Ovis aries: one gene and its partners. The protein of the gene in region 3 interacts with the protein of the main gene of each other region in a pairwise test. Links are inferred from orthologs where the notes say so. Each region holds a gene or a part of one and is shown on either strand. Other genes may lie near its edges.

Region 1 (3,642 bases), on a different chromosome or scaffold from region 3:
TGCGGCCTGAGGCGCCGCTCCTGTCCCCAGGGCAGGGTCTGGGACGGCCCGGCCACTGGCCGGCCACCAGAGGTGGCTCGTCCTCCGGCCCCCACAGGCCCAGGGCCTCCCGTTCTTGCCGGAGGCGCCGGAAGCGGGGCGGCTTGTCCTGGCGTGGGGGCCGCCTTCGCCGGAAGGGCCGGTTCTCTGTGTTTTCGGACTCTGCAGCATGGTCATCTTGGAAGAAGGCCCTCCGGTCCTCCAGGCGGCCATCCTCGAAGCCCCGGGAGCCCAAGGCGTCGGGGCGTCTGTAGGCATCTGGGATATAGTCTCTGTCTAAGGGCCGCCGGGCCCCACACGCATCAGGGGGGCCAGGCTCCTGCCAGGAGGCACCAGGACCCCGGCTGGGCCAAGGGGCCACCTCCTTAGCCGCGAAGGTTCTCCGGCTGTATGCACAGTTGCTCAGGCGCGGGGGTAGGGCACGCCCGAAGGCCCGGGGGCCTCGGTTCTTGGCCTCAGGCCCACTGTGGTCCTCGGGGTGCATCCTGCCGGACCGCCAGGACTCCCTGAAGTCGCCCTTCCTTCCCGTGGCCTCCTCCCGCTCCGGGAGCGTGCCCTCATCCCCAGGCTCGGTGCCTCGCTGCCGCCGCCGCTTGGGAAGCTCCTCGTACTCAGAGCCCTCGCTGTGGGTCTCGCTGGCAATCCTCCGCCGGGGCTTGGCCCGGGGGAAGTCATCCGGCGGCCCGCGGCCCCGGCCACTCCTCTGACTGCCGCTGTAGAGGCCCCGCGCCCCAAGGACGCCCCCGCCACACAGGCCGCTACCAGTGGGCCGCCCGCGGAAGGTGAACTCTCGGAACCCGCGGCCTCGGCCCCGGGCCGGCCCCCGGCCCCCAAAGGCTTGCTCCTCATCAATGAAGATCCAGTTATTCCTCTTGGTCGGGGGTGTGTGGCTGGCCTCCCTGGAGGGTCTGGCCTCCGGGGCCCCATCAGGCTTGTTGTCCTCCTCGGGACAGCTGGCCTCACGGCCCAAGCTGCCACGGGCTGAGCCCTGGTCCTCTGAGGTGGCCAGGGCCACGTTGGCCAGCGCGGGGTCGTTCTCTTGGTCCTCATCCTCAGCCACTTCATGGACAGGCCCCGTCTCCCGGGCCAGGCGGGTGTTCCCCTCTGCCAGTTCCGGCTTTACTTTCTCGAGCTCCTTCTCCTTGTCCTCCACCTTGAGGGCCTTCAAGACAGGTTTCTTGATGGGGCCGGACCTACGGGTCCTGCTGGTCTGCTCCGGGTGCTGGCTGCTGGTGCCCCGGGCTTCTGGCGTCCACTCAGGCTCCAGAGCCGGCGGCTTGCTTGGGCTCCCTTCCTTCTCCCAGGAGGAGACGCTGAAGGGTGGCTCCTCCAGCGGTACCTCCTTCTCAACCGCAGCGTCTGGGTCGGCAACCTTTGACTGGTGGTTCACATCCCAGTCACCATACTCGGGCTTTTTCTCCGTGGGGGCAAAGTCAGGCTCCAGTGGGGAGCACCTGAGGTTTGGGGTGTGACTCACAGGAGTGCCTGCTTCCTGACCATTTTCTTGGGGTGGAAACAAAAGCTCCTGGCCTACTCTCTGAGAGGAGACACGGGAGTCACAGTCTGCTGGGGCCTTCTTGTCAGAAGCGCTCAAGTACTCCTGCCCTCTCTCCTCAAGGAGCTCGCGCTGGGCACTCATGCCCCCTGACCTTCCGGGGGAGGCAGAGTAAGAGCTTTCACTCCTGAAAAGGAACCAGAAAAATCAGTCAATGTGATTGGAGCCTGGTTCCTGGTTTCCACGCTGAACACAGTTTAAAAAAAAAAAATTTTTTTTTTAAACAAAAAAGAAAAAAACATAGGCACGAACATTCGCTCTATCTTTAAACAGGCCTCAGAGATGCTGGGCCATGGGCTGGTGGCGGCCCCTGGAGTCCAGAGTGATGATCAGTGGCTGGCGGACTCCACGAACAGCTGGGCATCCTCTGGTTCAAACACGCTGGAGCCGGAAAGTCCGAGAAGAGTCTGGGGTGCTGGGCCGGCAGAGCCAGCTCACCTTACTTTCACAGGAAGGAGCCGTAACACACATGCTCAACCCCACCCCACGGCCCTGGCCCAAGGTTCTTTGGGATTTGCCTCTGACCCCAGGATTCCTCCTGGACCTTCAGTCACCATCGGAGCCTCTCACATGAAAGCACCCAGCTATCCTCATCTCACTCTCCTTTCCCAGAGCACACTGGTCTCTCTCAAGGCGCCCCTTTCCTGAGGGCGGTGTCTCCCGGGACGGCCTCCTCCCAGAGCCCATCTCACTGAGGACCGAGACTCCTCCTTCAGCTGCAAGGCAGCAGGACCAAGCGTCACCTCACCTGACATGCATGTCCATGGCCAAATTGTCGCTGGATTTCGGGTGGGGCAGCGAGTAGCCCTTGCTCTGCAACGCCATGTAACCCTCGGGGCTCCACACGGGGGTGGGGTCAATGGCGGTCACCTTCCTTTCTGGCAGCGGGGGCACACAGCTCTGGTCCTCAGAGCGACAGGCAGTCCCACTAAGGGAATCCGGGGGCATTATGGGTTTCATCAATCCTGAAGAAGGCAAACAGCCAATTGGTCACCTCGTTCAGTAAACCATGGGTGGCCCACAGGCCCAGAGGAGACGAGCTGCCCTGACCATCCTGCGGATGCGGCAGCCCACCTGCTTCACGTCATCTGATCATAGAGCCTCCAAAAGCACACAGGCACGCCATCTGAAAGGCCTGTTCGAAGGCCCTGGAGGTCCAGTCTTAGTTCCCGATGAAGATCCCCTATGTTGAAGGATGTTAAACAACTGGCAGATGAAAACAGGACACAACCAACTAGAGAGCCCATGGCTGGCAGCAGAAAGCTAAGGGGCCAGGCAGCCAGCAGCAGGAGATGCCCGAGGGTCTCCTGCACAGACACAGGGAAGATGAGCTACACTCCAGGAAGCCTACATGCACCAAGGAGCCAGCGTCTGCCTGCTTCCAAACCCTACAAGAAGATTCAGAAAGGGGTCTGGACTTCAGCTCTGCTTGTTTCTGCCCCTGAGCTTATAGTGATAATCCACTTTCTCTCCAGGAAACGGGAGAAGGGGACACACAGATGACACTCAATTCTTAACTGGCCTGAGGAAACAGGGATAAGCTGACATCTCGGTCCAACCAGATACAAACCAGCCCGGGAGACAGCACCCCCTCACTAGGGCCCCTCTGTCCAGTTCTAACAGATGGGATGCTGTAGACGACATTAAAGGCCTCCCATGTGGCCAGAGTCTGTGTAGAAAAGAGGGTCTGACTTTTCAGATATCTCACAAAGCTAATTACTGGCCACCAGTGTTGTTTTGTGCCCATTTTTAAAGCTGAGATAATCTGATCAGGAAAATGATTCTGCATCAGGCTAGTGGTTTTATACTTTCTTTCAGCTGTGGATGCTCTGTCCGAAGGTTACCAATATACAACTCCGGCACAAAGGTAGTCTGAGTCATGCGGTGGCGAGGACCCTCTCTGGAATCCTAAAATTACACCCCGTTCATTAAGTATTGATCACGAGGTAGGCAGAACTGCTCAGCACCACACAGAGCTATTTTTGGCAATATGGCAGCTCATCACCTGAAAACAACCTCCTGTCACAAAAACACTGCACAAAACATAT
Region 2 (3,642 bases), on a different chromosome or scaffold from region 3:
ATAGGTTGAGTGGTTGAACACTCTGCCATCCTAAACCTAGGAGCATCTGGGCCCAGGAAGACCATTACTGCAAAAAGTTCCCAGGAGGGAGGTCTGTGTGGTTTTCATGAGGGGAGGGTCACCTTGAACAGCTGGCAGGCCGCGGCTGCAGCCTGCCTCTCAGCGTCAATCTTCTTGCTGCCATAGCCTTCTACCTCCACGCTCTTGGGCCACTTTATGTGGAGGGTGACTTTCTGAGAAAAAGAAGAGAGAATCAGAACCCTTGCCTCTGGACTACAAAGGTATTACAAATCACACGGAGAATCCACAGGAAAGCTGCAGGCCTCATGGCAGCAGGGCTGGGTGCAAGACAGAACCCCGACCCCATCATTAGCTCCTTGGAAGGCTCCAGTCCTCCCCCCACCCCCACCAAGCCACTGTCCCACCTCAAGTTGCTTTGCTTCTTCAAAGTGCCATGTTCCAGCCAGAGGGCAAGGTGGGACCCACCCTTATTCTTAAAAATCTTCATTCAGAATGGTTTGCCTGCGTGCTTCCTGGTCCCAGGACCTACAAGACTCTGGGAGCAGGAATCATCATCAACCCTAACCCTCTACAGTTCCAAGAAGTTGAGGAAGGACCAACACCAGGGCCCACTACAGTGGCCTGTCTCACACAAGATGAGAGAGCATCTCGCTTCACTTGCCCATGTTTCCTTTCCCTAAACCAGACTCTGCTCCAGACCTAGCTTTGTTCTGAGATTCTCTGCTGACCATTCGCAATTCAAACAACCTCCACTGTGGCCTCCCTGACGAGAAATCCAGGGGAGCAAAGGGCAGCTGGTTTCCTTCCGGAGGCTCAGACCAACGTGTTTCCCTGCCACCATACCTTTTTCTTCGGTCCATTTGTATGCACGTAGACCAATTTGTCTTTTGCGTGTGAGATGCCAAGGGCTCTTCCAATCACACTGTTGAGAAGATTTTTGGGCTGTGGAAACTCTTTTAATAGGTCCCTAGAAGCTAAGAAAATAAGGACAAAAGCATTATAGTTGTGTTGCTTTAAAAACTCTGTGGGGTATGCTTCAGGGCAACCCTGGGCTGGATACTGAGGATGTTGGCTCGCGACCCAAACCACCCAGGAGCATCTTAAAAAGGAGGGACAGATGGCTTCAGGGTTTACAGGGGACAGTGGACCTAGACCCACTGGACAAGCATCTCCTTGTGAAAGAGAAGGGTCAATGCCCCAGACACCAGAGGGGAACCAGCCAGCATCCTCTTCCTCACCCAAGCTCCTGACTTTACACATCAGCTATAGAAGCCTAGATGACAGCAACCCCCCTAATCTGATGTCTGGAAGAAAGCACTAAATAGACAAAACCAAACCAACCACACACACACAGGCACACACACAGGCACACGTACACACACAGGCACACGTACACACACTGGAGGTCAAGACAACGCAAGGCCCCTCCTAAAACAACAGATACACAAAAGGGAGGAATGCCTGCAGAGTCTGAACACCAAGCCGCAGTTCTCCATCACACCTCAGCACCCTGCAAAAGACCTCCCCTTTCATCCGGATTCTGTGCAGGGACACTGATTAGAGACCTCCAGAGCTGAGCCACAGGCATGAGCTGGTCCTCCCAGGAGTTCACTGCAGTGAACCAAGTGGAGGCAGGATGCATCAGACATCATGAGAGATACCTTACATCTGCTCACTTGCACTCTGGATCAATTTCAGACCACAAATGGGTGAGATGTCCACCTAGAGGCAGCTTGTGCCAAACACAGGACTTAGAGAGACCATGAAGAATCCTGCTGAGAGTGACTGAAAACAGAAGGAAGAGTTCCAGAGCACCAGAGTGGACCTTCAGGAGATGCAGAGTCAGAGGAGATGGAGAGCTTTTTCATTCTCCACCCACAGTCTCTGGCTTATAATTCAGCTCCAAAAAATATTTTTTATAGAGCCTGTGTGTGTGTGCATGTGTGTGTGTATATATATGCACCTGTGTGCATCGATCATAAGTCACGTGGGGAACGTCTTCACAGCCCTCCACACTGATCCCCACAGGACACTTGAGAATGGCCGTGGTGTTGGGCAAGTCTCTGTGTCCTGAAAACGCTCCTCCACAAGCTCTGCTGTAACTCTGCGGCCTGGGTTCAAACTGTTTCCCTGGAGAAGACTCCCCTGTCAACTGGCCAAGAGGGAAGATTCTGCCTGGCCCTATCTCCTTCTGAAGGATCACTCTTAAAACTACTGAGAATCAAGTAGCCAAGAAAGAGTATGTAAGCAGACTCAAAGGGCTTCCACCTCACAGGAGGGCGTAACTTTAAGTAGCCCATCAGACATACCTATAATACAGATGTGCAGGGGTACCCACTCCAGCTCTATAGAGAGGCAGAGGCTAGCACACTCTGTCCATCCTTGGTCGGCAGGGGTGCTCTTACTAGTTTCATCTCCTGCACTATTCAGGAGGCAAGCGCTGGGATCCACTGTGACCAATCATTCTGTCTCTATTTCAGATCTTAAAGTCCCAGATGGATACTGAGCTTTCTCTTTTTCTTACAACGGGAAGGATGTGCTTACCCGTGATGCTCTAACCCTAGACCACCGCCCTGGCAGGAACTGGACGTTTACCTGTTTTCCCCAGCTCCCTCGTGGTACGCACCTCTCACCTACTGTTGCCAGGGCAGGCGCTCCAGTCCCAGACCTCTGCGCTTGGGGTCCATTTGGACCTGAACCACACTGAGTTTTACAGCAGTTGGGCTGCGGCCCGCCACTGAATGGCTGTCTCAGCCATACCGAAGAGGGCCCGACCCCGGCCCGCGCCCCTAGCTCTGCCATCCCCAGGAGTCAAGGGCGTCGCAGCCTGGCTGCCCCCGCCACTGCCCTCACCGTTCACCATGCTTCCATCGCCTTCCCCAGGCTCGCCGGGGGCCGCCTCGGCCTCGGCGGCCTCCTGGGTGCGGTCGGGGCGGGAGCAGCCTGTCGAGAGGCCGCGCGGGCCTCCCTGTCGCCCGATGGAGCGGGGACCCGATGGCCGCAGGCGCGGAGAGACGCCGGCGGCCAGCGCCATGAGTCTCCTGGCGGTCGCCATCTCGCTCCCGCCCGCCCCCGCGACTCCGGAGCCGGGCAGGGGCCGGGCAGAAGGGCAGGAACGGGAGACTCGGGCACCGCGCGCCCCCTGCCGGACGGGCGGACCCGGGACCGAGCCGACATCACACTCCAGTCGGCCGGTGGTGGGTCGACTGGATCGGTCTGGGATCCTGCCGAAATCACTCCCCTAGGAAATCCGAACCCACAAACTCGTCATCTGAAGGCCGGAAGAGAGAGTGGGGTTTTTCGGGAAACAGTACAGGCCTTAGCTCAATGTCCACCCAGAGAAATGAAGTAGAAGTTCCCTCTGGGTCCTACCCAGGGCTGGTAGATCGCTTCTACGTGCCCAGTTGGCTTGCACTCCAGCAGGCGGACTGTAAGATAGCGATTACTGCTAAGCTGGGGCACATCCACCTCATTTAATGGCTTACAACTAGTGAAGAATCTGGAACCAGGACAGGGAAGCCCTCTTGAATATTAGCAAACCAGACTGAATCTCCAGAAGAGTCAAAGGTGAAAAATACCCGATTCAGACCCTGTGCCCAAGAACTGAGCTGGTGCAGCAGT
Region 3 (4,429 bases):
CGGCCTGACCAGGAACAGGAAGCCCAGCTCCAGACTCTGTGACTCCATCCTTCCTGTGTCTGCTGGTTTGCCAGAGGAAAAGGCTTCCCCCCTCAGGGCTGGTCTAGGGGGCCTCAGGCCCTATGCTGGGCCCACAGAATCTCTACACTGGGCCTCTGAGGACCCTCTGCTCCCTGCTCTGGGCGATCCTCACGCTACCCCACCCCCCAACATCAGTGAGGACCACTGCCGGATTTCCCAGCTGGCTGGGTGGCAGTCTGGGGTAGGTCCAATGGTGGCTCTCAGATCCTGCCTGCCTCTTCCCTGGCCAGCAGCCTGATGTGGCTGCACCACCTGAGGCCTATATTTCAGCCCCTGTTGAGCACCTCAAATGTTTCAGTTGATATCATTTGTGATCCCTGTCCTGGCTGAACAGTGAACCCCCAGACTCCTGTCCATTGGGTACCTGTGAGTATGGCCTTATTTGAAAATAGGGTCTGTGTAAATACAATGAAGCTTAGATGAGGTCACACTGGATTAGGGTGGCCCTAAATCCAATGACAGTGTCCTCATGGGAAGAGGAAGTTTCAAAGACACAACACAGGGAGAAGCTCGTGTGAGACACAGGCAGAGAGCCAGGGACACTTGGGGCCACCAGAAGGTGGGAGAGCCAGCATTCTAGGCCTTTCACCTTCAGCAGATCTAGGCCTTGGGAAGATGTTACAAATGCCAGAGCTGGAAAAGAAGAGACCTATCTGGAAGCCATGTTGGAGGAGGGCCACAGGAGTTGGGAGGCCCGCTAGGTGTCTAGGCTGGGGGCCTGGTGTGGGATAGGGTGGGAGTGAGTGATAAGTGGGGAAGTGATGTCCCTTCAGGAAGGAGGGCAAGAAGTGTCTCTCCATTCCCCGAATAGAGACTCTAATGCCCTGAGCAGGTCCTGGACTAAGGCAAAGTGCAGCGCTGAACTGTTTTCCTCCCTGTGGTGAAATTTGAGGTCAAGAATCTAAATGCAAAATGGTTATAAGCTGGGGAGCCCCAAGGAGACCCAAGAGAGCACTCGCTAGGCGGCAATCTCAGGATGCCCGAGCCTAGGGCGCAATGGGAACAGAGCCTGCAGAAGTCCAGGAGCAGCCACCGGAGGACCGCTAACCTCAGAGCCTGGGCTCCCCTCCGAGGGTTGGCGGGGCGTTTGGGGCGAGGTGTGGGGTAGAGCGGACTGCAGCCCGCTGAAAGTGGCTTTCAGCGGACGTTCGCACTCGCGGGTTGCTCTTCTTCACACCTGAGGGACAAGCGCGGAGGGTGCCACCGGGCTCACAATCTGCGCCAACCTGTGCCGGCACGCGCCGTGCAGCCGCAGCATCATTGCCACCGCTGTGGCTGAGGTAGCGAGGCCAGACAGGTGCACACCTGCGGGGCTGGGCCCGCGGCACTTCAGGACATGCCCACGTTATTGCCGGGGCTAGCCCCATCCCGCCGCGCAAAACTGGGACCAGAGCGCGAGATCCGTCCCGCCGGGGGGCAGCGCGCAGGCGCGGCGCGTGGCTACCGTCGACCTCCCGGCCTGCCCCGCGCTCGCTGACGTCGCGCCGCCTGGTCCCCGCCGCTGCCGCTGCCGCTGCCGCTGCCGTCGCCGCCGCTGCCCCTGCCGCCGCCGCCATTGGAGTCGGCGCCGAGTCAGTGCGTCCCGTCCTGCTAGCCGCCTCGCGCCTGCCCACAAGCGGCCCGCGCGCCCGGCCGCCGCCGCCGCCCGGCCGGCCGGCGCCCGGGAAGGAGGCGGCGGGCCCGGGGCCGCGAGAGCTCGGGTGACAGGCCCGGCCTCGCGGGGAGGCCCGAGCCGGCGGGCGCCCTGGCCCCGCGCCGCGCCGGCTGTTAATGAAGCATGTCGGCCACCAGCGTGGACCCCCAGGTAGTGGCGGGACCGCGGTCGCGGGGCCGGGCGGCGGGGTCGCGGGGGCCGCTCGCGGTGCCGGGGTCTGGGTCGCGGGTTAGGGCTGGAGTCACGGGACCGGAGCGCCGTCGTCTGGGGCCACGGACCGGTTCGGGCCGGAGCGCGCCGCCCGCCGGGAGGGGTTCTCGTGGATAAGTTGTGTTTCTTCTCCCCGGGTGCTGTCCGTTCGCATGTCCGGCCTGCGGCGAATCAGAGAACAAAAGGACAAGATAATAAAGGTGAGCGAAGTCGGGACGACAGCCAGGGACCGGGGCGGAGGGGCCCGGGAGCGGAGGGGGCGGCGCTCGCCGAGACCCGGTGCACGTGTATGGGGGAGAGCGAGGTCTCCGAAGCGGCGGCCAGGACCGCGGAGTTTTCCTTTCTCAGCTTCAGGGAGAGAAAACTTCTGCTTTTGATATTGGGGGAGACGAAACAGGTCAAAAACAGGGACTTTTCAAGAAGTAAGTAAATCGACCGGGAGAGTAATTCCGTAGTTCCCTCTTTCCGCAGGGTAGTGGCGGGGGAGAAAAGGAGGCCAGGGGCTGAGCGATCCTCCTGTCCGTGACCCCAGGCATGGGGCTGGCCCCTTGGCCCTGTACTCTGGTGCCTTACCCCAGTAGTTCAAGCCTCTGTCTTTTGAGTGTCTTGTAATCTCTTGGGATAGTCTGGCTTGGGGTCCACCCCCAGAACTCACTCCTGGGAAAACTGGTGACGCTTCATGTTTACTCCATAGACTATTTTGAAACGGGGTGTGTGTGCCTCGGGTGTAACCAAATAGGGTTATCACGTTTGGAGATTGGAGAAGGTCCAGCACTTCTTTACCTTCCCCTCCTTTCCTGGCTGAGTGTGGTGACAGTGGAAAGTAAGAGTGCAGCCAGATAATAGTTCAGAGACGTCCAGTTACAGCTTCCCAGCCTCACTCCTCACTGGGCATACAAAGACCTTTGAAACCGGGTTATGAGTTCCTGGCATTATCTCATTTGCACCTCTGTTTTGTTAGTGTCTACCAAATTCCAAATAATTTTCGTAAAAATCGTAACCTAAGTTATTGAAAGTTTTGTATCACTTTTCTAATTAGCTGTGTATCAATTCTGAATGTCTGTCCATTTTTAAAGTAAAAGCAATTTCTAGAAGTTGATGGACATAAACTTGACTTTTTCCAATTTCCATGATTAAAAGCAAGGTTTTAAGAATTCGAAGGTAATATGTTGCAAATTCTCTTGCAGTACAAAATGGTTCTTTGCATCAGAAGGATACCGTTCATGACAATGACTTTGAGCCCTACCTTTCTGGACAGTCAAACCAGGTGAGTTTATCTTTTTATAACATGTTTGCATTTATTTCAACTGAGCTTTGAAAAAGTAAATACACCTTTACTACTGTATTTCTTACTTTATCATCCTGAACAGCAGAGATGCAGACCATAAAGTACTAAAGGTAAAGTAAGAAGCTGACAAAGGCTTGTTTTGAAGAGCAGCATCACATGGAAGTTGGGGCATGAGCGCAGTGAAGCTGGTCTTCTCTCTGGAGGAGATGACATCCCACTGGGGCTGGTAGGCATGCAGCATTCTAGTTGGTTGGTCTCAGCATTGCTGGGTCAACGATGGCATTGCGTTTGACAAAGTGGAGCTGCACTTATTTCTCTGAAGCTTTCCAGAGACTTTTTTTTTTTTTTTTTTAAACTCTGAGCAATTGGAATTTTGGTCTAGGAGCAGCTAGAGCAGGACTCTAGAGTGAGGCTCCATCTTTGGGTTCTTCAGGCCACTGCTGACTGTGACACTTTCTTGATGGTTTGCCCTCCCTGTGCTCGGTTACTTTTCTCTAGAATTTGAAGAGGTGACTCCTGAAAGAGTTGTGGGCAGGGTGAGACTACAGGGTGCCCTTAGAGCCCAAGGCAGTACCTAATGGGTTGTAGCCATCCGTTCTCTTAAGTGTTGTTTTCTTAGCCATGGCAGTAAGGGGATTGTGAATTGAAGTGCTTTCTGTTTGGGGGGCCATCTTGCACACTAGAATGTTTAGGAGCCTCCTGGGCCTGCATCCATGAAATGTCATCCATGCCATCCCGTGTGACAACCAGAAATGTCACAGGTGTCTCCTGGGGGGCTGTGTTGTCCTGTCTAAAACCACTAGCTCAGTTTGAGTTCAAGTTTAAACAAAACGTCTGTTACTTTTAAAGTGCATGGTGTATGTTTGCTTTAGAATCAAATGAGGCTCTGCCTCTTTCTGTGGAATGAAGCTGGGCTGCCTGTTTCCTTGCTTGTCTGCTCTTCTCTGGAGTGTCTTAGGGCTTTTCTCCATTCTCCTTTTTCCTCCTCCACTTGGCAGGACAGAGGCTGAGGGCCACACACACCCCACCCCATCCCCGAGAACCCACCCCTCCTCTCGGCAGCACAAGAGACTGCTCGGTGATGGCCTTTCAGCTAGAGGCGTGGCAGGAAGTTGAGCAGACTTAAACTTATTTCTCTTGCGTGATTTGCTCCAGCAGTGTTACGTATTAAATTTTAACCAAAAATATCGGGAGAG

What was found.
Region 1: the proteins of YTHDF1 (region 3) and PRRC2B interact in a two-hybrid assay, tested with the Homo sapiens proteins (2 studies listed by BioGRID, with this or other methods). The link is inferred for Ovis aries from reciprocal best matches to the Homo sapiens genes YTHDF1 and PRRC2B.
Region 2: the proteins of YTHDF1 (region 3) and DHX30 interact in a two-hybrid assay, tested with the Homo sapiens proteins (2 studies listed by BioGRID, with this or other methods). The link is inferred for Ovis aries from reciprocal best matches to the Homo sapiens genes YTHDF1 and DHX30.

What each region holds. Positions count from the first base shown.
Region 1 is NC_056056.1:5,322,063-5,325,704, forward strand, and holds part of PRRC2B (protein PRRC2B), read right to left. Parts: intron 2,560-3,642; coding exon 2,343-2,559; intron 1,722-2,342; coding exon 1-1,721.
Region 2 is NC_056072.1:51,936,161-51,939,802, forward strand, and holds part of DHX30 (ATP-dependent RNA helicase DHX30), read right to left. Parts: intron 3,104-3,642; exon of another isoform or gene 3,077-3,103; coding exon of another isoform or gene 2,875-3,076; intron 996-2,874; coding exon 865-995; intron 234-864; coding exon 123-233; intron 1-122.
Region 3 is NC_056066.1:54,032,178-54,036,606, forward strand, and holds the start of YTHDF1 (YTH domain-containing family protein 1), read left to right. Parts: upstream 1-1,556; 5' UTR 1,557-1,851; coding exon of another isoform or gene 1,852-1,858; coding exon 1,859-1,885; intron 1,886-2,120; coding exon 2,121-2,145; intron 2,146-3,132; coding exon 3,133-3,212; intron 3,213-3,315; exon of another isoform or gene 3,316-3,459; intron 3,460-4,429.